Linked DNA regions of Elephas maximus indicus. The protein of the gene in region 1 purifies or fractionates together with the protein of each later gene. This does not show direct contact. Links are inferred from orthologs where the notes say so. Each region holds a gene or a part of one and is shown in the gene's direction. Other genes may lie near its edges. The genes, in order: NPC1, PON2 and SIGMAR1.

Region 1 (7,394 bases):
TCTCATAAGACCAGACTTAATGGTCTGAGACTAGAGGGACCCCGGTGGTCATGGCCCCCAGACCTTATGTTGGCTCAGGACAGGAACCATTCCCGAAGCCAACTCTTCAGACATGGATTGGACTGGACAATGGGTTGGAGAGGGATGCTGGTGAGGAGTGAGCTTCTTGGATCAGGTGGACACTTGAGACTATGTTGGCATCTCCTGCCTGGAGGGGAGATGAGAGGGTGGAGGGGGTTAGAAGCTGGCGAAATGGACACGAAAAGAGAGAGCGGAGGGAGACAGCGGGCTGTCTCATTAGGGGGAGAATAATTGGGAGTGTGTAGCAAGGTACATATGGGTTTTTGTGTGAGAGACTGACTTGATTTGTAAACTTTCACTTAAAGCACAATAAAAATTATTTAAAAAAAAATTCTGTCCATCAAAAAGTATAGAGACCAAAGTTTATTAGTGGTTTACCAGAGGCAGGAGGAAGAGTGGGAATGAGGGATTAACAGTAATGGGAAAATCTCATCAATTAAGGGTAGGGTTGCACAGCCGATTACTATAATTGCTATCATTAAGTCATACACCTGTAAAAACTTGAATTGGTGAAAGTCATGTGATAGATATACTTACAATGGGGAAAAAAAAGAGTAGCTGCTGAGGTTGCTTATGTACAACCAAAACCCTCAGGGAATCTGGTTGCTTGGTTTGGAGTTTTAGGGTCATGGTTTCATAGGACATCCCAGTTAACTGGTGTAATAACTTATTCAGTGCTTCTGTTCTACCTCCTAGTTTGTTGCATAGTGCCCGGGGTCATAAAAGCTTGCAAGGGGACATCTAGGAACAATTGGCCTCTATTGGCCTGGAGCAGCAGAGGAAGAAGGAGAGTCAGGAATAGGAGGAGGATATGGAACGTGTGGCTAATTGCCTCCATGAACAACAGCCTTCTTTGCCATGAGACCAGAAGAACTGGATAGTCCCCAGCTACCATTACTGAACATTTTGATCAAAGATTATGTAGAAGAATCCCTATCAAAAGGGAGAAAATGGAGAACAGAATTTCAAATTCTCATAGACTCCAGACTTTCTGGAGCCATGGAGGCTGGATGAACCCCTGAAACTATTGCCCTGAGATAAGCTTTAAACTTTAAACCAAAAACATTCCCTGAAGTCTTCTTAAAACCAAACAATAGTTTAGCTTAACTAGTAAAAAAATGCCTTGAGCATTATTCTCTTAAGAACTATCTAGATGGGATCAAATTGACAAGAGCAACTTGAAAGATGAGATAGGAACCTTAGGCGGACCATGACTTCATGTTAATGGAGGGGGAACAACTGAGAAAAGGTGTGTGAGAATGGTTGCACAACTTGGAGAGTGTAATCAATGTCACTGAATTGTACATGTAGAAACAATTGAATTGGTGTATGTTTTGCTGTGTATATTCACAACAAAATTAATAAAAAAAGAAAGAAAAAAAATCCTGCACATCCCCCACATGTCTCATATGGTGCCTGAAATTTATTTTACTCACATCAGTTACTTAGTAAGGTTTTTCTTTTTCTCTTTTTCCATAAAGACTTTGTGAAAATTAGAAGGATAAGTAACCTACCAGGATCCAGGAAATACATTACAACAGAGGTTCTTAAACTTGAGTCTGCATCCAAATCAACTGTTAAGCTGGGCCCCACTTCTAGAGTTCCTGATTCAGCAGATCTGGGGTGTAGCCTGGGAATTTGCATATCTAACAAGTTCCCAAGTGATGCTGATGCCGCTGGTCAGGTGACCACACTTTTTTTTTTTTTAATTGTGCTTTAGGTGAAAGTTAACAGTCCAAATTAGTTTCTCATTCAAAAATTTATACACAAATTGTTTTATGACATTGGTTGCAATCCCTGCAATGTGTCAGCACTTTACCCCTTTCCACCCCGGTTTCCCTGTGTCCATCCATCCAGTTTTCCTGTCCTTGCCTACCTTCTCATCTTTGCTTTTGGGCAGGTGTTGTCCATTTGGTCTTGTTGATTGAACTAAGAAGCACATCCCTCATGTGTTATTGTTTGTTTTATAGGTCCGTCTACTCTTTGGCTGAAAGGTGGACTTCAGGAGTGATTTCAGTTCTGAGTTAGCAGGTTTTCCAGGGGTTATAGTCTCAGGGATTCCTCTAGTCTCTGTTGGACCAGTAAGTCTGGTCTTTTTTGTGAATTTGAAATTTGTTCTACATTTTTCTCCTGCACTGTCTGGGACCCTCTATTGAGATCCCCGTCAGAGTGGTGGGTGGTAGTAGCTGGGCACTATCTAGTTCTTCTGAGCTCAGGCTGGTGGAGGCTGTGGTCCATGTGGTCCATTAGTACTTTGGACTAGTATTCTCCTTTGCTTCGGACAGGATGGGACCAATAGATGTATCTTAGGTAGCCACTTAAAAGCTTTTTAGACCCCAGATGCTACTCACCAAAGTAGGATGTAGAACATTTTCTTTATGTACTATGTTATGCTAACCGACGTAGATGTCCCCTGAGACCATTAGGTGACCACACTTTGAAAGCCACCACATTAGAACATACTACTTTGTCATCAGCTGAACCACCAAGTGCAGGAGTCTGGGGAATGGGGGAGCACACATTTGAATGAGGGCCAGGAGGTAGTCACGGAAGATCCAGGGCTGAAAGTCCGGAGGAAATGCCTATAGTTTCACTACCAGGGCATTCAGGTGGATGTGTCAGGGCTGAGGAGGTGGGGAGGCAAGAGAGCAACTGAAACAGCCTCCGTAGGTAGGGATTGTTGTTAGCTGCCATGGGGTTGGCTTTGACTCGTGATGACCTTACGTACAACGGAACGAAACGTTGCCCAGTTCTGCGCCATCTTCATGACTGTTGGTATGTTTGAGGCCACTGTTAGGGCTATTGTGTCTGTTCATCTCATGGAGGGTTTCCTTCGTTTCCAGTGACCCTCCACTTTACCATACATGATGTCCTTTTCTACCGATTGGTCTTTCTTGATGAGGTGTCCAAAATAAACAAGGCAAAGTCTTTCCATCTTTGCTTCTAAGGAGCATTCTGTTTGTATTTCTTCTAAGACTGATAGAGTAAGGGTGGGCACACAGAACAAGTGTCACCTCCATCGTAGTAAGACCTTGCACTGGTTTTGTTCTTTCATACAGGTGGATAGTCTTTTCCTTCAAAACTGGCTTCCACTCTTGGGTAAATAGATCCTTACTTGCATTTCCTTAACTTCAAAATGGAAAAGACTGATGATTTTGAGTGGTCTGAAGAATTAAAATCCGAGGGAAAATGTTACCAGAAATGTATACAATAAAAAATAAGTGAAATGCAAATATATAGATATGTATATATAAGTGCAAGACTCATGAACAAAGACACGTCTACTTCAATCTTCGTGTTACCTAACTTCACCTAAACCAAAAACCCACTGCCGTCGTCGACTTCACCTAGAGCTTCAAAATAGGCGTTGCAGGCCCCCGCCGGGAGTGTCCCCGCGCCAAAGGGCTCACTGCTACGCTTTGCTCCGCCAGCAGGTGGCGCGGTTCTAACGCTTTCTCCAAACGCGGCTGCGTTGACAGTAAACAAAGTTAGGGTGACTAAGGGGCTCCACCCATCTCCGAGCTCCCGCCTCCCACCCCCCACCCGCGCTCCGGATCTACAGAATCAGGCCATTGTGCGTCATCGCCCCGAGCTGGTGCCCCATTCCTTTTGGCTGACTGAGTTTGGGAGGAGAAACTGCTCCGAGCACTTATCTCAGCCGCCTCCAACCTGTTATTGTTAGCCGCCCTTGAGTCTCACTCACTCACGGCGACTCCATGCACAACAGGACTAAACGCTGCCAGGTCCCGCGCCATCCCTACGATCCGTTGCAGATAAAAACACCGTTGCTGTGGAGTCGATTCCGACTCATAGCGACCCTATAGGACAGAGTAGAACTGCCACATAGAGTTTCCAAGGAGCGCCTGGTGGATTCGAAGTGCCGACCTTTTGGTTAGCAGCCAAACTCTTAACCACTATGCGACCAGGGTTTCCAGTTGCGGACAGGAGAGGCAAAAAGGAAGGAAACCCGTTAAAGCACCAAAATCATGTACTGTTGGCACGACTGCAGAAATATCCTCCGGGTCGGATTCCAAAAGTTCAGCTTGCCCAGGTCTGGGGAACCCCAGAAGCTACCCCCAGCCCCAGCCCCACGCCGCACCCAGGAGGAGACCTACAACGCCGGTACCCGGAGAAATCGCCTGGGCAGTGCCGCACAGTCCCGCCCCCGGCCCCGGCCCCGCCCCCGGCCCCGCCCCGAGTCGGCCCTGGAGTCTCGGCAGCGGCCCCGCCCAGAAGGAGGAGGGACCGGCGACACCTCCTCCCTTCCTGACCTGCGCGCGCAGCTCTCAGCTGCCCGCGCTTGCTCCCTCGCTCAGCCGGCGCTAGGTCCACAAACTCAGCCCAGGGAAGTGAGGCGGCACCCGGGACGTGGAGCCGAACGGACCCGAGCATCTGTGACCAAGCTCCGTGCGGCGGCACCATGAGAGCGCGCAGCCCGGCCCTCAGCATCCTCTTGCTGCTGCTCTGTCTGGCGCAGGTGAGCGGCCGCCGGTGACCCGAGCGGGCTGTGGGGGACGTGGTGGGCCCAGAGTCGGGGGCGCCGGGCCGTGCCCCTGCCTTGCCGCGGCTCAGGCGCCCGGTACCCCCAGGCGGCGCGGGCCCGGCCGGCTCTGGGGAAGTTGGTCGACTGATGGGGTCCCCGAGGTCCCCCACTTCTCTCGTCTGTCTCCTGCCAAGCTCTATTCCCTTGTGATCTGGAAGAGGATGGGTAACTGGGGACAGCTCGTTTGACCTGTTTCGAGCTCGCTTCAGCTGTGATCACCTGATTCTGGGCTTAGGCTTTGGGACCAGAAGGGAGAAGAAGAGAAGATAGAGAAGGGTAACCAAAAAAAAAAAAAAAAAAAAACCAAACCCGCTGCCGTCGAGCCGATTCCGACTCATAGCGACCCTACAGGACAGAGTAGATCTGCCCCATAGTTTCCAAGGAGCGCCTGGTGGATTCCAACAGCCAACCTTTTGGTTAGCAGTCGTAGCACTTAACCACACCACCACCACCAGGGTTTGACCTATTTATTTACCCTGCCTTTTTTTTTCCTGCCACATGTACATGAACTCTTTATAAATTTTTTTACAAGATCTGACCACGAAAACAAACAAAATTCTTTAAGTACTGAATCGGAACAGTCTAAAGTGCTTTATGTAAGTCGGCTTGGTGTTGTGAAGAGTGCAGGTTTCTTCTTCCCAACTTTTCTGTATCTCAGGAAACTGAGGTCCATAGGGGACAATTGAATTCCCTTGTCAGGATACTAGCTAGTGACAGGATGGGACCTGGAACTCAGGCGTCCCACTCCCTGGACCTGCATTCTCTTGGATTTGGAGCCTGGGCATGAGTGCCTCATTGCTGTTTGTGTGTCCAGAGTTTTCCCTTTGAAAACTGGGGTGGGAGTGTTTGGAGGATATAATGCTGATTACACTGGATTAGGATGAAAGAGTGGTGGGAACCATGGTCTTGGGGAACATCTAGCCCAACTGGCATAATATAGTTTATAAAGAAAATGTTCTATATTCTAGTTTGGTGAGTAGCATCTGGGTCTTAAAAGCGTGTAAGCAGCCATCTAAGATACTCCACTAGTCTCACTCTGTCTGAAGCAAGGGAGGATGAAGAAAACCAAAGACACAAGGGAAAGATAAGTCCAAACGACCGATGGACCACAGGTACCACAGCTTCTACCAGACTGAGTTCAATACAACTGGATGGTACCTGGCTACCATGACCAACTGTTCTGATAGGGATCACAATAGAGGTTCCCGGACAGGGCTGGAGAAAAACGTACAACAAAATTCTAACTAACAAAAAAAAAAAGACAGAGACTGGAGAAACCCCAAGAGTATGACCCCTGGACATCCTTATAGCTCAGTAATGAAGTCACAGATTAGATAGGCCCACACAACAAAACGAGACTAAATGGACACACCAGCCCAGGGGCAAGGATGAGAAAGAAGGAGGGGACAGGAAAGCTGGTAATGGGGAACCTAAGGTTGAGAAGGGGAGACTGTTGACATATTGTGGGTTTGACAACCAGTGTCACAAAACAATATGTATATTATTTAATAAGAAGCTAGTTTCCTCTGTAAATGTCCATCTAAAGTACAGTTTAAAAAAAATGGAAAAGTGAACCTCTGGGACATCCTGTTACAGCCGGGGACTGTGCCCTTGTGCCCACAAACCCCCTCAAACAGGAGTGTCAGTGTTGAGGGGTCCAGTGGATCAGAGAGGAAGATAGATTAAGAGGTTCCCTGGACTAGAAAAACCTCTCTTTAAACTTCTACTGTGTGGTTCCTGGGAGGTGATAGGTGATGTTGACCCAGTGAAGGATGAAGAGCCAAGGGAAGAGGTGGCTCCTTCCTGTGTGTGGTTGCTTGGGGAGGGCAGCAGTGTGAGGTTGTACAAGAGCATACTTCTGGTAGTGCAATGAACCCAAGGGCACCTGGTTGGGAAGGAAGGGGTTTGAGGTGAGGTCAACAGGTGGGCCACTCACTAGCTCTGTAGCTTTGAGCAGGTTGCTCTCTCAACCTTAGTCTCTTCTGAGAATAGAGTTACTGGGGTTATTAAGTGACATGATATACGGAGAGACCCCATCACCATACCTCTTGGATAAAAACCAAAGAAATAAAAGGAATTATGTGCCCTAAAGTAGAGCTATTCAGTTTCCCTAGAGTTTTAGATAAAGACCTAATAGGCTTCATATTATTAAATAGCTTTAATTTATCTGAAATCCTTTTAAATCTTTTTATCAAAGTTTTTCACTGGCCAGTTTTTTTAGATGGGCTCAAGTACGGCAACAATCCTGAGGATGGAACCAAACCAAACCAAACCTGTTGCCGTGGAGTCGATTCTGACTGATAGCAACCCTATAGAGTCTCTAGAACTGCCCATAGGGTTTCCCAGGAACGCCGGTGAATTCCATCATTCTGTTGTACGTAGGGTCACTATGAGTCGGAAGTGACTCGACAGCACCTAACAGCAACAACAAGTATCTAAGGCTGGTGGCAGAAGAGTTTCTCTCCTAGGACATTTGGGATAGGTCATCAGAGGTTAGTCATGACTTTTGCAAAATGCCTGGAAGCCTTTAACAAGAAACACTTGTAGTTATTTTAAAAAGTAATGTCCTCCTTGTTGCAGAGGCTTTCAGTATACCTGCAGGTGGATTGGAACCTTGAAGCAGAACAGATTGTGATAGCAGCTCCTGGCTTTGGTCTGAGTACTGTTACAGTTCTATCACAGGACTGCAGCCTAACTGCCCTTCACAAGGTTTGCAGTTCCTTTTAGGGGGATTTTTACCTTTCTTAATTTTTTATTTTTACAGAAAATT
Region 2 (7,244 bases), on another chromosome or scaffold:
TTTTACAAAAGTGTCAGTCTGTGACAAATTGGAAATAAAGAAAAACTCGTCCTTCACTAGACAGTTTGAGAAGCACTGACATAAGGTATCATTATTTTTGAAATTTTGCTTAAAAACCATAAAATTTCTAATTATAATCTAATCTTAAGTTATTATTTGATAAAGACTGTTCATACCAAGTATAAGGAGTTGCCAGCATATAAACAGGTTCCAGGGAAATTTGTTTTATATTCAGTAACTTGGTTATTTGGTACTCAGAACCAATTTTCCACATGAAATAACATAAACTGGGGGTTATGTTCTTGGTGTAGCCTATAAATCCCAGTTATCTCAAAACATTGTTAAGCTCTCTTATAACATTTAATAGCCAGTAATAACAGATATAATATTCTTAGAGGAGCCCTGGTGGTACAGTGGTTAAAGTGCTGGGCTGCTAACCAAAATGTTCTTTGTTCGAACCCACCAGCTGCTCCACGGGAGAAAGATGTGGCAGTCTGCTTCTGTAAAGATTTACAGTCTTAGAAACTGTATAGGGCAGTTCTACTCTGTCCTGTAGGGTTGCTGTGAGTCAGATGGCAATGGGTTTAGTTTTAGGGGCCCTGGTGGCGCGGCAGTTAAGATCTATGGGGAGCTACAGCTGCTAACCAAAAAGGTTGGCAGTTTGAATCTACCAGCCACTCTTTGGAAACCCTGTGGAGAAGTTCTGATCTGTCCTATAGGGTTGCTATGGGTCAGAATCGACTTGATGGCAATGGGTTTTATGACATTCTTGGGGACACTGATGGTTCAGTGGTGACATTCTTGCCATATTTACAGGAAACTGGGCTTGATTCCAGCCGGTGAACCTAACGTGACACTTGTCTGTCAGTGGAGGCTTGTGTGTTGCTATGATGCTGAACAGGTTTTAGCAGAACTTCAAGAATAATAGGGACTGGGAAGAAAGGCGTGGCCATCTACTCCAAAAATCAGCCAGTGAAAACCCTACGGATCACAACAGTCCAATCAGCAACCAGTCATGGAGATTGTGCAGGACCAGTAGCATTTTCTTCCATTGCACATGGGTGACCATGAGTTGGGAGCAACTCAGAGGCAGCTAGCAACAAACCCCATAACGTAACAACTGGAAAAGATATATGTTTCTGATTTCCTAATCGGAAAATATCTCTTCCCACCCACCTGTGAGAAATGATGATTTCTAGCCCTAGCATGGTAGTGGGGCTGAGAAGATAGAGCTTGTGGGAGCTCATTGGTCATGTTAGTAAAAATTGAAATGACGTTTCTCTAAGATTCTCTAAGATTGTGGTTAGGTAGGTTTTGCTGGACTCGAAAGCCCTGGTTCTTTACCACAACTGCCTCTGTGCTAAATTCCAGGACACTGTTCTCTTTGGAATAGCTTGGCTGCTTGCCAAAAGGTGAGCAGTTTGAATCCACCAGCTGCTCCTTGGAAACCCTATGGGGCAGTTCTACTCTGTCCTATAGGATTGCTGAGTTGGAATTGACTCTACGGCAACAGGTTTGGTTTGGCTTTGGTTCTCCTTGACTTCCCAGCACCAAGATGGCAAATAGGGTTCATCCTGGATTGAGATCTGTCAGTGGCCACTTCAGGGATTTGTATTTCTCTTTTTCTTTTGTTTTTTGAAAAGATTGTGAGGACAAGTCTGGTCTTGGTAAGAAATTAGTGATGTCTGACATGGGCAAGGGGAGGAGTCAGCACTAGAGCTATTTTTTTTTACAATCTTGAGACCAGCCTAAAAAATGCAGACATTCTACACTTTAATTTCTGTGTAATAGCCAAAAAACAGACCAAACTATGAAGAACATGACTTTTCTAAAAATGGGGAATGATAAAAGGGAAATAACCTTATAGAATAGCATGCAACTAAAACTAAACCAAACCCACTGCCATCAAGTTGATTCTCACTCACAGCGACTCTATAGGACAATGTAGAACTGCCCCCATACGGTTTCCAAGGAGTGCCTGGTGGATTTGAACTGCCGACCTTTTGGTTAGTAGCTGTAGCTCTTAACCATTAGACCACCAAGGTTTCCAGCATGCAACTAGGTTTATCTTATTTAAACAATCTTGGGTTTTCTCATTTTGTGACACATGTAGGGAGTCCTCTGAGTCTGGCTCCTGATTTAGAGTCCATGAGGCATAGGTTTTTGTATTGCCTGTATCCAGGAATCCTTGAGAATAAGGCTTGCAGACTGGCCAAGGGAGAAGCACAGGCAGTTGTTACCGACACTCTGTTTTAGGTCCTCATTTTACATTCTGATTTAATATTTGAGGCTCTTCACTTCTCCAGTGATTGACATCAAAAAACGTCCCTGCCTACCTATACAGATATGCCCCTTTCCACCCCTACCTACACAGACATAGCTTTACCCTATGGAAGGATTCTTTTGTTGTTGTTTGTTGAGAACATACACAGAAAAACATACACCAATTCAACAATTTCTACATGTACAATTTAGTGGCATTGATTACATTCGAGTTGTGCAACCATTCTCACCTTGCTTTTTTGAGTTCTTCCTCCCCCACTAACATAAACTCACTGTACCCTAAAGCTCCTATCTAATCTTTCCAGTTGCTGTTATCAATTTGGTTAAGGAAGGATTCTTAACGCAAGTTACGAAAGGATAGAATTCAGTGGGGTTCATACACCTGGATGAAAAAAAAAATTTTAATTTCACATGGTGCAAATGTTTAATATGATTGGCTGCTAACCAGAAGGTTGGTGATTCAAGTCCACCCAGAGGCACCTCAGAAGAATGGTCTGCTTATCTACTTCCAAAAAATCAGCCATCGAAAACCCTATGGAGCATGGTTCTACTCTGACACACATGGGGTTGCCATGAGTCAATTATGAAAGTAGACAACAAGCTCAGTGGTATTACCAGTACTTCTGACTTTGTTACAAATAGAAATGGCAGTTATTTTCATTATTACATTACAGTTATGGCAGATATCTCGAAATAACATTTAGGCTTATCACTATTTGAAAGAATGGTGCTCCATTTTGTTATTTAATATGTCAATAATGTAGCACACATAATACTATAGCAAAAAATTGTTTTTGTTAATATTTTGATAGTTGCATTTCGAGTCATTGGTTTCCTTTGCAATCCTATGTATTTTATTATATACACTCACAAACATTATTCTGAGAAGGTATCTGTAGGCTCACCAGACTGTCAAAGAGGCATATCACACAAAAAAGGTAAAGCCCCTGGACCTTCGAAGGACAACTGTATCCACCATCCAGTAGAACTCAATATTCATTAGGCCTGAATTAGGCATAAGCACAGACAGAAGGAGGGGAGTCATTTTTGGAGGGAGGCCTTAGGGGGAAGGTGAGAAATTGGCGTCTGCTTTTATTTACTGGTTGTTAGTGAAATCGTTGTTGAGAATTGTTTTAACTGTGACATTTCTGCCTACATACTGTGGTGCTGGGCAAAATGGAAGGCAACGGTGACCTAGCGGTGCCTGGGTCTCCGCTATCAGACCTTCCACAGGCTATAGGGTGAAAAGTAAACACTGAAAATCATTAGCAGCTTATTTCTGATCTACTCATGTATAACTGCCTCAGGCTTAGTGGGTAAGTTTCTCTTTGATACATATACATATGTATATGTTTTCCTTTATTTCTTCACGTTGGTAAAGTTAAAAATAAATTAAAAAAAAAACTTTTAGTCCCATAAACTGGGTTTGGATCAAAAAGAAGTGTCTAAATCCTTAGGTCTCTAGGCTAGATGAAGTATTACTAAAAACAGGATGTTCCTTTCCTCTCATTACCATCCTGTTGTAAAAAGTGGTAATTCCGACGTGAGATACTTACATGTTCGTTTCCTTTTTTTTTTTCCTGGTAATTAAAAAATAAAAAATATTAGTTTCTTATCAGAATAGCGCGTAAGGAACCTCTTGGAAGAGTGGGAAGTGAGAATGGTACGCATACTGCTTTTGGGTTTTGTGTGGGCTGGTTGTTCGGAAAAGGAGGAGAGGGAATTCCAAGTTTCAGCCGTCAGCTTAGACCAGGGCATGGGGGACGGTTCCCCGTGCCATGGAAAGTATCTGGGGAAGTATGCTTTGGGGGACATAGGTTTCTGGGGACAAAGGCCGAGGGCTGGGCCGAGGGCGGAGCCTCCGTGGCCCCGGGACAGGGGCCCCGCAGAAGCCGGTGACGGGGCGGAGCCCGGCCAGGCGCCGGCGTAACAGGGAAGCGGGCACCGCCCGTTGCACTCCCTGCCCAGGCCGGACGAGGCGTGCGCCCGGCTCCCGCGCCATGGGGCGGCTGGTGGCTGTGAGCCTGCTGGGGATATCGCTGGCGCTCCTGGGCGAGAGGTTCCTTGCCCTCAGGTAGGTGAGGCCTTCTCCAATGGAGCCCTCGTGCGCGCAGCCAGGCCAGCGAGGTGTGCCCCCGGACACCCCTCCCCGGCAGCCTGCCCGGGCCCCTGGGTCCCCAGGCTCGGTTGCGGGAGCCCGCAGGCAGCCGCCGGCAAGGGCGGAGGCCGGGATTCCAGAGGCGCGATTCTGGGGCCTGGGACCCTCGGCAGGAGTTGAAGAACTTTTGATTGTCTCTGCTCACTAGTTAGTTGAATATCCCCGCCCCCACGCTCAGCTTTTGGTTAAACCAGCCAAGTTAGGACAGAATCTGGGCAACCTTCTAGACAGTTTCTAAGCCTCTGCTGCTTTCTTTTCAGCCTAGGTTGACAAGCTGTTGCTTTAACGTAATGTTTTAACTTAGAACAAAAGTAATTACTCATGCATTGAAACTTTAATTATAAAGACTTATTTGAGGTCATTGGTATTGCTTTTCTTTTGTTGCTCACGCCAGCCCGCGTCCTTAGTAAAATTGTTCTTCATGCTTCTCTGCATAGTTTGAGAAACTTCTGCTCTCTAATCCTGGCCCTGTAGATCAAAAACACTTGAGATACTCAGCTACTGCTCCTACATCACTTCCGTATTTACCTATTCACTTGGGAACCCTAAAGTTCAGAATGCCGAATACATGCAGGCACTACTACAGCTCACATTTTGGTTATAGCCAAAAAAAAAAAAAAAACTGCTGGTGGGTAGACATCATATTTTTTTAAGGTACCAATTCAAATCTTATAAGCCTCATGAAAAAAATTTCAAGAAATCTGGAACACCTAACGATGGATAATATGCTTTTCTAGGTACTTGTAATAGAGTCCTAAGGCATTTACTGTATTGTAAGGGAGGAAGAAATTAAATATATATCCAGGACAGATATAAGCAAACCCCTATAAGGCTTGAAGAGGAGGGATTACCTTCACTGAAGATGGAGTTGAAGAAGGAGGAGGAGACATTGACATTGGCCTTGAAGGATGGGTGGAGCACTCTGGGGATGAAGTAGGCCATACCAGATGGAAAGTGCAGTGTGAGAAAGGGCAGTAAGATGGGAAAGTTAGGAGACTAAAAATAGACCTATTGGAGAGTAGTATAAAGTTAAGGGATGAGAACAGTAGAGGATGGGTAAGGATAGGTTTCGAGACTGTTAAAATATAGGTTGAAAAGTTGGCAAAGGGAGACTATTGATATATATATATATTTCTTGATATATATTTTTTTAAAAAGGATTGTGTGTAACCAGTTGGAAAGAGCCCTGGTGGTACAATGGTTAAAGCACTCAACTGCAAACCAAAAGATCAGTAGGTTGAACTCACCAGCTGCACGGAAAGAGAAAGATGTGGCGGTCTGCCTCCATAAAGATTTAAAGCCTTGGAAACCCTATGGGGTAGTTCTACTTCATCCTCTAGGATCACCGTGAGTCGGAGTTGACTCAACGGCAGTGGGTTTGGTAGGTAACCAGTTACGTTTTCTAGAGATGAACCTGGAAGGATGGAGTGGAGTAGAGCAGTGGTTCTCCATTCCGGCTGCACATCTGGGTCTGCTGAAAGGCTGATGTATAGGTCTCACTCCCAGAGTTTCTGATTCATTTGGTCAGGGTAGGGCCCAGGCATTGGTAGTTTTTATTTTTAAAGGCTCTCCTGATAATTCTAATGTGCAGTCAGGGTTAGAAGTACTAGAACACAGAAGAGTATGCTAGTTATCTGTGGAGTCAACTCCAACTCATGGTGACAGAGTAGGACTGTGTCCATAGAGTTTACAATGACAAATTTTTTTGGAAGTAGATCACCAGGCCGTTTTTCCTAGGTGCCTCTGGGTGCACTAGAACCTCTGACCTTTTGATTAGCAGCCAATCGTGTTAACCGTTTGCATCACTCAGAGACTCCAGAGAGCATAGATACAGGGAAACTAGTTAAGACACTGCAGTACTTTGGAGAGAATAACAAAAGTCCAAACTCCTGAATCCCAGGGATGACAGGGAAGTCAAAGGTGATACTAGAGTTTTGGACTCAACTGTCTAGTGGCTTCATCTGATGAAAAAAGGATGCAAGGAGAGGAGTTACATGTATGGGTAGGGGGTGCCGGATATGAAGGAGGAGGCTTAGAGGTAGGATATGGACCTCCTGAGCTTACCTTTCATGTTATGTAAATATCAATCCTGCTCTGCAGACCATTCCTGAATTGGATGATTTTGTATAATCTGTCCTACCCTCAGTTTCAAAGACAAATCAAAAAACCCAAACTCGTTGCTGTCTAGTTGATTTCGACTCATAGCAACCACCCAAATTCACAAGCCCGTTAAGTTGTCACTGATGTTCACACTACCAAGTTAGAGTTTTCTCCATTAACAGTAAATGTTTTTCTCTTCTTATTAATTTTAAGGTTTTAAATTTAAGCCCTTGAATGAAAACTGTTATAGTTGCAAACTAAGAAAAGGTAAATAAGGCTTATTGACATAGAACACGCCTGATAGGTAATTTATAATTTATTCATCTTTTCTTAATAATGACTGTATGATAAACTTTATTGGGTAATAACTTTATAGGGCAGTAACTTTATTGGATAAGAGGCCTGGTGGTAGAATGGTTAAGCACTTGGCTGCTAACTGAAAGGTTGGTGGTTCAAACCTACCCAGCGGCTATACAGGAGAAAGACCTGGCAATCTGCTTCCGTAAAGATTACAGCCAAGAAAACCCTCTAAGGGCAGCTCGACTCTGTCACATGGTTGCTATGACTCAGACAGAGTCAACTCGATGGCACCCAACAGCAACAACTTTATTAGATAATTGAAGCCCCAAATAAGCTGACGTGAGGATGTTGGTTTGGGATGAGAGTTGCTAGATTTAGCAAATAAAAATACAGACTGGCTGTT
Region 3 (6,932 bases), on another chromosome or scaffold:
CTACTAGCTATCAGGTGGGCTTCAAGGGCCCACTCTGGGGAACAAACAAAGGCTTGATGGGATCTGACTCAGAAGGAGGTCCACAGCCCCGTCGGTGAGGGGCAGTTCTAAGTGGGTGCCACTCGTGCTGGCCCAGCGAATGTGGGCTCTAAAAGCTTACCTCTCCGTTGGCTCGTGTGGCCCCAGGACACAGAGGGTTGTGGGGGTCATGGCGCGGCACTGTCTCCAGAAGCGGGGGCTCCACTTGTCCCTGCCAGGGCCGCTTCATGCGGTGAGCTGACACCAGCACCCACTCATCTTGCAGCGGATTGTAGCGAATATGCTGATGCTCTAGGGGCAGACGGTCAAGGTCAATCAGCAAGCGCTGTACCGCCCGCTATCCCCTGGGTCTCACCGACTAGCAGCCCTAGCTCAGAGGCGCCCTCTCGGTCCCGCCCTGCTCCTGACCCAAAGGTCCGGGCTTGGACCTTCCCAGCGTCGCCTGGCCTGCAGCCTAAACACCGGGGTCTCCCTTCGCCCCGCCGGCCTGGCCAAGCGTGGGCGTTCGGACCCTGCGGGTGGGGAGAGAACGTCCAGAATAAGGGCTGGGCTCCGCTCCGCGTCCCTGTGGGTCCCGGCCGCCCTGCAATTACCACTCGCCCGGAAAGTTGTTTCTGTGGCGTCCGCCTCTGACGCCTGCTGGCGCTGCCCAGTGCCGGTTCCAGAAAGCGACATTACGCCAACCCGGAGATCCCACTGGAACGTCTGCCGGGCCGCCCCTCGCCCTTCCAGTCGGGGCCTGCCCCGCCCCTACCGATTGGCCGGTCGCCAGCACGTGACTGCTTGAGAGGCCCGCCCGGCCTCCTGGGGGAGGAGCTCGCGAGAGGCACTCTTATCTCGGGTGGAAACCTCTCTTCTGGAAGAACCTTTGTGAAAGCTGCCTACTGCAGAGTATCTCGATGCCTGGATGCTTACAAGAACTCTTTGCTGCATTCATTTATTTATTTGGTCATTCACTCAACAAATATTACTGAATATCTACCATATGCCAGGCACCTAGGCTGTGCGTGGCACAAGGACTATCCCTATGTGCACAAGTCAGGCATGGTTTCTGCCTTCCCACATTTTACGTTCTAAGGCAGAGTAAGTGCATGACTCCTGGATCCACAATCACGTCAGTTCCCTGCTCAGCGTCTACTTTGCGGTGGGGGGCGGGGGGGCTTGATCTGCTATATCAGAACCCTGACCTCAGATGTTACCGGGAGGAATGGATACTTAGCATTTCCGTACCCTTTCCCCACCAGGCAGCAGAAATAGGTTTGCCAAAAAGGCTAAGTAACCGTATTATATCTCTCTCACATACACACATACACAGAGACCAAAAGCACAGTGGGATGGGTAAGAGGGCTATACCAAAAAAAAAAAAATTCAAACCCATTGGTGTAACAAACAACCCCCAAAACTCAATCGCGTAGCACCACAGTTCACGGGGGGGGGGGGGGGGGGGCGGGGCGGGGGGAGACTCTGTTCCATGCAGCTTTCAGGGACCCAGGCTCCATCCATCTAGTAGCTCTGCCATTTCCTAGGGCCTCAAATTCTCCACTAGATCCAAGACAATAGATGAGGTAGAGTGAGAAGGTAAGTAATTTCACTGGAGACTTTTGGAGCCAGACCTGTAAGTGCCATATATTATTTCTGCCTATTACATGGTTCCTTCTAACTACCAAGTAGACTGTGGAATGTAATCCGTTTGCTTGAGAGCAAAAGGAAATAGATTTATGAATGCTTAACATTGTCTCTGCCACATGCCCCTACTGAGAAATCTCATGACCACTTCCCATCACTTTACTGGACCTCTCAGTTACTTTTGACTGTGTTGACCCTTCATTCTGTTACTCCCATGTGTGAGACTACTCTCTTCCAGTTCTCTTCTCCTTTATATTTTATTTTTATTACTAACACATATAATGCTCACCACATAACCACATGCCAGGCACTAATTGCTTTATAAATATTAACTTATTTAATCTTCATAACAGCACTTGTGAGGTAGGTTCTTTATCCTATTTTATAGTTGAGGAAACTAGGTCACAGAGTGTAACTTGTTCAAGATAACAGAAGTAGTAGGTAGCAGGAGCCGAGCTTTGAACCCAGGCAGTCCACCTCCAAGGCTTATTGCTTAATCACTGCACTATGCTGCCTCTTTTATTTCTTTTACTTCTCTTCCTTTTTGGTCACTTCTTCCTTCCTCTATCTCTTAAGTGCTGGCTCTAGGCTTGGCTTTATCTTTCTCTGTACTCCCTTCCTGTGAGATTTTATTCACTTTCTTAGGTTTTAATTACCACCTTTTATGTAGGCTCCCCCATGAGATCTCTAAGATGGGTTGGGAATTATGCTTGCCATATCAGCCACCACAGAACTTGGTACATACAGGTGCTAAGAAAACATCTGTTGCCTGAATGAATGACAACTCCTAGCTCTCTGACTGGATCTGAGCTCCAGACCAGAGTACTCAGCTGCCCATTGGGCATGAACAAGGATGTTAGCCAAATAAGGGGGAGTTAGAATGGAGGGAAAAGAGTATTCCAGGAAGAGGGAATCAAGTCCTCCCAACTTTGTTTCCAATGTACTTCTCACGCTCATTTCTTTTTTCCATCTCTACAGACACAGACCTCCTCTCTCACTTGGACCATAGTCATGGTCTCCCTGACTCTCATCTTTGTTGTTGTTAGGTGCCACCAAGTTGGTTCCAGCTCATAGTGACCCAAGTACAACAGAATGAAACACTGCTAGGTCCTGGGCCATCCTCATAATTGTTGTCATGCTTGAGCCCATTGTTGCAACCACCGTGTCAATTCATGTTGTTGACGGTCTTCCTCTCTTTTGCTCACCCTCTGCTTTCTCCAGGGACTGGTCCCTGCTGATAACATGTTCAAAGTGAGAGGAAATCTTGCCATCCTCACTTCTAAGGAGCATTCTGGCTGCACACATCTTCCAAGACAGATTTGTTTGTTCTTCTGGCAGCCCACGGTATATTCAATATTCTTCGCCAACACCATAGTTTTGGCCTTTATTCATTGTCCAGCTTTCAAATGCATAAGAGGTAATTGAAAATACCATGGCTTGGGTCAGTTGCACCTTAGTCCTCAAAGTGACATCTTTGCTTTTTAACACTTTAAAGAGGTCTTTTGTAGCAGATTTGCCCAATGCAATAGGTCCTTTGATTTCTTGACTGCTGCTTCCATAGTCACGATCTCCCTGACTCTCATCTTGCCCCCCTCCAATTTAATCTCTACTCTGTAGCCCCAAATGTGATCTCATCACTCCCCAACTGATAACCCTCAGGGATTTACAAGGCCCCCTTCTCACACTTTGTCTTTCAGAACAATCTTGGTCCCCTAAGCTGGAAAGCCTGCCCCATCTTTTTTTTTTTTTAATCTTTGTAAAAATATATATAACACATTTGCCAATTCAACATGTACAATTTTTCACGTGTACAATTTGGTGACACCAATTACATTAACGGTGTTGTGCAGCCATCACCAGTATCCGTTGCCAAATTTTCCATCACCTTAAGTTCCCATCTTTCTTAAAGACACCGTTGGTGTCCCCGCCAGCCTTCCCTACGCCCCCAGGATGAACTGCGTTCTCCCCCCAGCGCCCCCCACTCCCGGTTCCGTGCTAGCAAAACCAGGCGGTAATAATCACAGATCCCGGAAGGCTCTGCTTCCGGGATCGCCTGCTTCACCAGCCAGTGGGCTTAGGCGGGTCAGTCCATTCCGGCCTCACTCCGCCCAAACCGACTCCATGCAGCGTTGCGTTAGGAGAGACCCTGCCTGGCGTCCTCGACGTCAGCCGCCAAGACGACGTTTTGGCCCGCCCCCTCGCCTCAGGTGCGCGTGCCGCCTCACCTCTCCGCTCTCCCCTCGAGGAAATGGTTCCGCCCGAGGGGCGGTGCTCGGGTGCCTAGGCCGTTCCGATTGGCCAGATCGAGCCATACCACGGCGGTAGCCGCGGAGCTGGTCGGTGGCGGAGCGCCTTGGGCTTGTAGGCAGTGTCACGGCCACAGGCTCCGGCTCGACTCCAGGTCGCCTCCTACGCCGCGCTGTGCCAGGCCGCCATCCAGGATGCAGTGGGTCGTAGGTCGGCGGTGGGCGTGGGCCGCGCTGCTTTTGGCTGCCGCGGCTGTTTTGGCGCAAGTCGTCTGGCTCTGGCTGGGTACGCAGAGCTTCGTCTTCCAGCACGAAGAGATCGCGCAGCTGGCACGGCAGTATGCGGGTGAGCGGGCGGGAGACGGGCAGTCTGGGTCGAGCCCGGGTGGACGAGAGAGACCCGGGGCTGGTCAGGAGGCGGGCCGGCCGAGAGTACGGTCCCCGAGTCCAGGACCGATGCCGGCCCTAACTCCGCCACTCCTCTGCCCTCGCCAGGGCTGGACCACGAGCTGGCCTTCTCTCGGCTGATCGTGGAGCTGCGGCGACTGCACCCAGGCCACGTGCTGCCCGACGAGGAGCTGCAATGGGTGTTCGTGAACGCGGGTGGCTGGATGGGCGCCATGTGCCTTTTGCACGCCTCGCTGTCCGAGTACGTGCTGCTCTTTGGCACCGCCCTGGGCTCCAGCGGCCACTCTGGTCAGTACTGGCGGCGGGCCGGACTAGGAGGCCGGGGGGCATACCCTCGTTTCTGATATTTGGCGCCATCATGTGCCGCCGCGGATACCCTGATATACGATGTTCATCTGATTTTCCCTCAGGGCGCTACTGGGCTGAGATCTCGGACACCATCATCTCTGGCACCTTCCACCAGTGGAGAGAGGGCACCACCAAAAGTGAGGTCTTCTATCCAGGTGGGTGGAAAGGCTGTCAGAGAGCTGGGTCCCCTCCACCTGGGTGTGTCCACAGTTGGGTTAGGGAGCCATGGCTTTGGGAAAGGGTGCCCTGGAGGGTCCTCGCCGTGGTCCCCCCCCTTAAGCCACAAGTGGTTTGTTGGTTGGACCAGGGCCTAGGGCCCCTATTGCTTTCCTCTGACAAAGAGAAAAAAAAACATAACAGCTTGCTATTAAAGATGTCTGATTTTTATCTATCTATTCTACTTAGCCAGTATCCAACAATTGTGGAGGAGACAGTTGGGTAATCAGAAATGCTCTCATACCCTCAAGGCAAACAGTTGTCTTCCCCCCCGCCATAATGAAGCATTTACATAGAAAATTGAGCTTTGGACTTTCAAGTAAATTTGAGGTTGATTGATACAAGCACCCCAGGCATCGGGATTCAATAGCTGCATTTCTCAGAAAGCCTCGCAAGTCTTTTAACCACCCCTCCCTATCTAACAGGCCTAGCCTAAGGTTTGCTAGATTTCTGCCTGACTTGAGTGGGGCTTGGGTATGACTTTCATACTGTGGCCCATGGCCAGGTGAGATGGAGGTGAAATGGGTCTGCTTCCCAATGGCCCTCCATGGCTTTCCCCAAGAGAAGTCATGGGTCAGGTGATGCCACAGAGGGATATGTAGGAGTGGCCATCTGGGCTTCTTACTCTTCCAGATAGTAGACCAGGCCAGTGAGGTAGGGCTTTTTCCTTTCCTGAAGCTCCCTCTCTATTCTCCAACCTAGACAGCCAAAAGGCTATAGAAGCAGCAGCAATGGAGGGGCAGGGCAGGGCTGGGCTGGGCTGGGCTGGGCTTCTCACATGGGTGCTCCCTGTCCCCCAGGGGAGACAGTGATGCACGGGCCTGGAGAGGCAACAGCTGTGGAGTGGGGGCCGAACACGTGGATGGTGGAGTACGGCCGGGGTGTCATCCCATCTACCCTGGCCTTCGCACTGGCTGACACAGTCTTCAGCACCCAAGACTTCCTCACTCTCTTCTATACTCTTCGTGCCTATGCCCGGGGCCTCCGGCTTGAGCTTTCCACCTACCTCTTTGGCCAGGACCACTGACCAGCAGGGCCAGAAGGAGGACCTGTGGATGGACAGGAGCGGGCAGGCCTGCACATGTCCACTTGCTGGAGCCCATGTGTTTGGGAACATACTCATACCATGCAGATACTGAGTTCCTGGTGTACAAGCAGGGACATAATATGCTTATACATCCAAACACAGAGACCGGTGGGAACATATGAAACACATATGCAGATACTGAGATCTGTAGGTATGACAGCAATCATGTGCTCACACCCATTGAGAGAGGGAGCCCCACGTGTACCAAGGAGGGCAGTCATGTTCAAACACATATAGCATAAGCTTGACTCTCTAACTCGGGCCTTTCTAAACCTTCCCCACCCTCAATCAGGGCTCTGGAGTTAGGGATGGGGTGAGTATTACACTCTGCCTGGGTCTGACCCCTCAACCTAGCAGTAATTTGGAGGGGCTAGGAAGAAGAGAAGCTGCCCTTTGGAGGCCTCCTTTCCCTGTAGCTGTGATGCCCTTCCCCTTCATCTCCCTTGCCCTCACCATATGCCTTACACTCATTCTGCTTCCTTGCTATGCAAGTGCCCCATGGACTGTCCCCAACTCCATCAGCAACCAAATAAGCTGGGGAATCAGGAACTTGAGAATGCTGAGGTTAGGACCCTACTACCCTGAAGGACCCCCATCCCCCGCTTGGGGGTATGATGGGAGGCTGACCCCAGCCCAGGGCCCACTACTGAGGAGAGGGCCTGAAGAGGTGACACTGAGTCCAAGAGGCCATCCCTGGCTTAGAGAAGGCCCGCTCTGCACACTCACATCGCCCTTCCGCACACACCTCACAGCTTCCAGACACTGCCCCTGCTGCATTCTCTGTCCTCTATGTTAATAAAGACCTGTCAAACAGTTACATTTCTTTGTGTTGTCCGAGCAGCAGGAAGAGCTGCTAACTCCTGGAAGACCTAAGGAAGGCCTCTGTATTGCTGTGTGCCTTAGTTTCCCTATCTATAAGACCACAGCTTTGGACTATAGTATGGATTCAAACTTAAGTGTGC

What was found.
Region 2: the proteins of NPC1 (region 1) and PON2 purify together in Homo sapiens (affinity purification with mass spectrometry; 3 studies listed by BioGRID and IntAct, with this or other methods). This does not show direct contact. The link is inferred for Elephas maximus indicus from reciprocal best matches to the Homo sapiens genes NPC1 and PON2.
Region 3: the proteins of NPC1 (region 1) and SIGMAR1 purify together in Homo sapiens (affinity purification with mass spectrometry; 3 studies listed by BioGRID and IntAct, with this or other methods). This does not show direct contact. The link is inferred for Elephas maximus indicus from reciprocal best matches to the Homo sapiens genes NPC1 and SIGMAR1.

The regions. Positions count from the first base shown.
Region 1 is NC_064829.1:29,736,040-29,743,433, reverse strand, and holds the start of NPC1 (NPC intracellular cholesterol transporter 1), read left to right. Parts: upstream 1-4,292; 5' UTR 4,293-4,501; coding exon 4,502-4,558; intron 4,559-7,394. UniProt on the Homo sapiens protein: Intracellular cholesterol transporter which acts in concert with NPC2 and plays an important role in the egress of cholesterol from the endosomal/lysosomal compartment.
Region 2 is NC_064826.1:65,314,699-65,321,942, reverse strand, and holds the start of PON2 (serum paraoxonase/arylesterase 2), read left to right. Parts: upstream 1-4,168; 5' UTR 4,169-4,283; coding exon 4,284-4,357; intron 4,358-7,244. UniProt on the Homo sapiens protein: Capable of hydrolyzing lactones and a number of aromatic carboxylic acid esters. Has antioxidant activity. Is not associated with high density lipoprotein.
Region 3 is NC_064827.1:43,461,667-43,468,598, reverse strand, and holds SIGMAR1 (sigma non-opioid intracellular receptor 1), read left to right. Parts: upstream 1-3,873; 5' UTR 3,874-4,106; coding exon 4,107-4,257; intron 4,258-4,406; coding exon 4,407-4,607; intron 4,608-4,729; coding exon 4,730-4,822; intron 4,823-5,683; coding exon 5,684-5,910; 3' UTR 5,911-6,785; downstream 6,786-6,932. Other genes in the region: GALT (galactose-1-phosphate uridylyltransferase), read right to left, coding at 161-330, 633-714. UniProt on the Homo sapiens protein: Functions in lipid transport from the endoplasmic reticulum and is involved in a wide array of cellular functions probably through regulation of the biogenesis of lipid microdomains at the plasma membrane.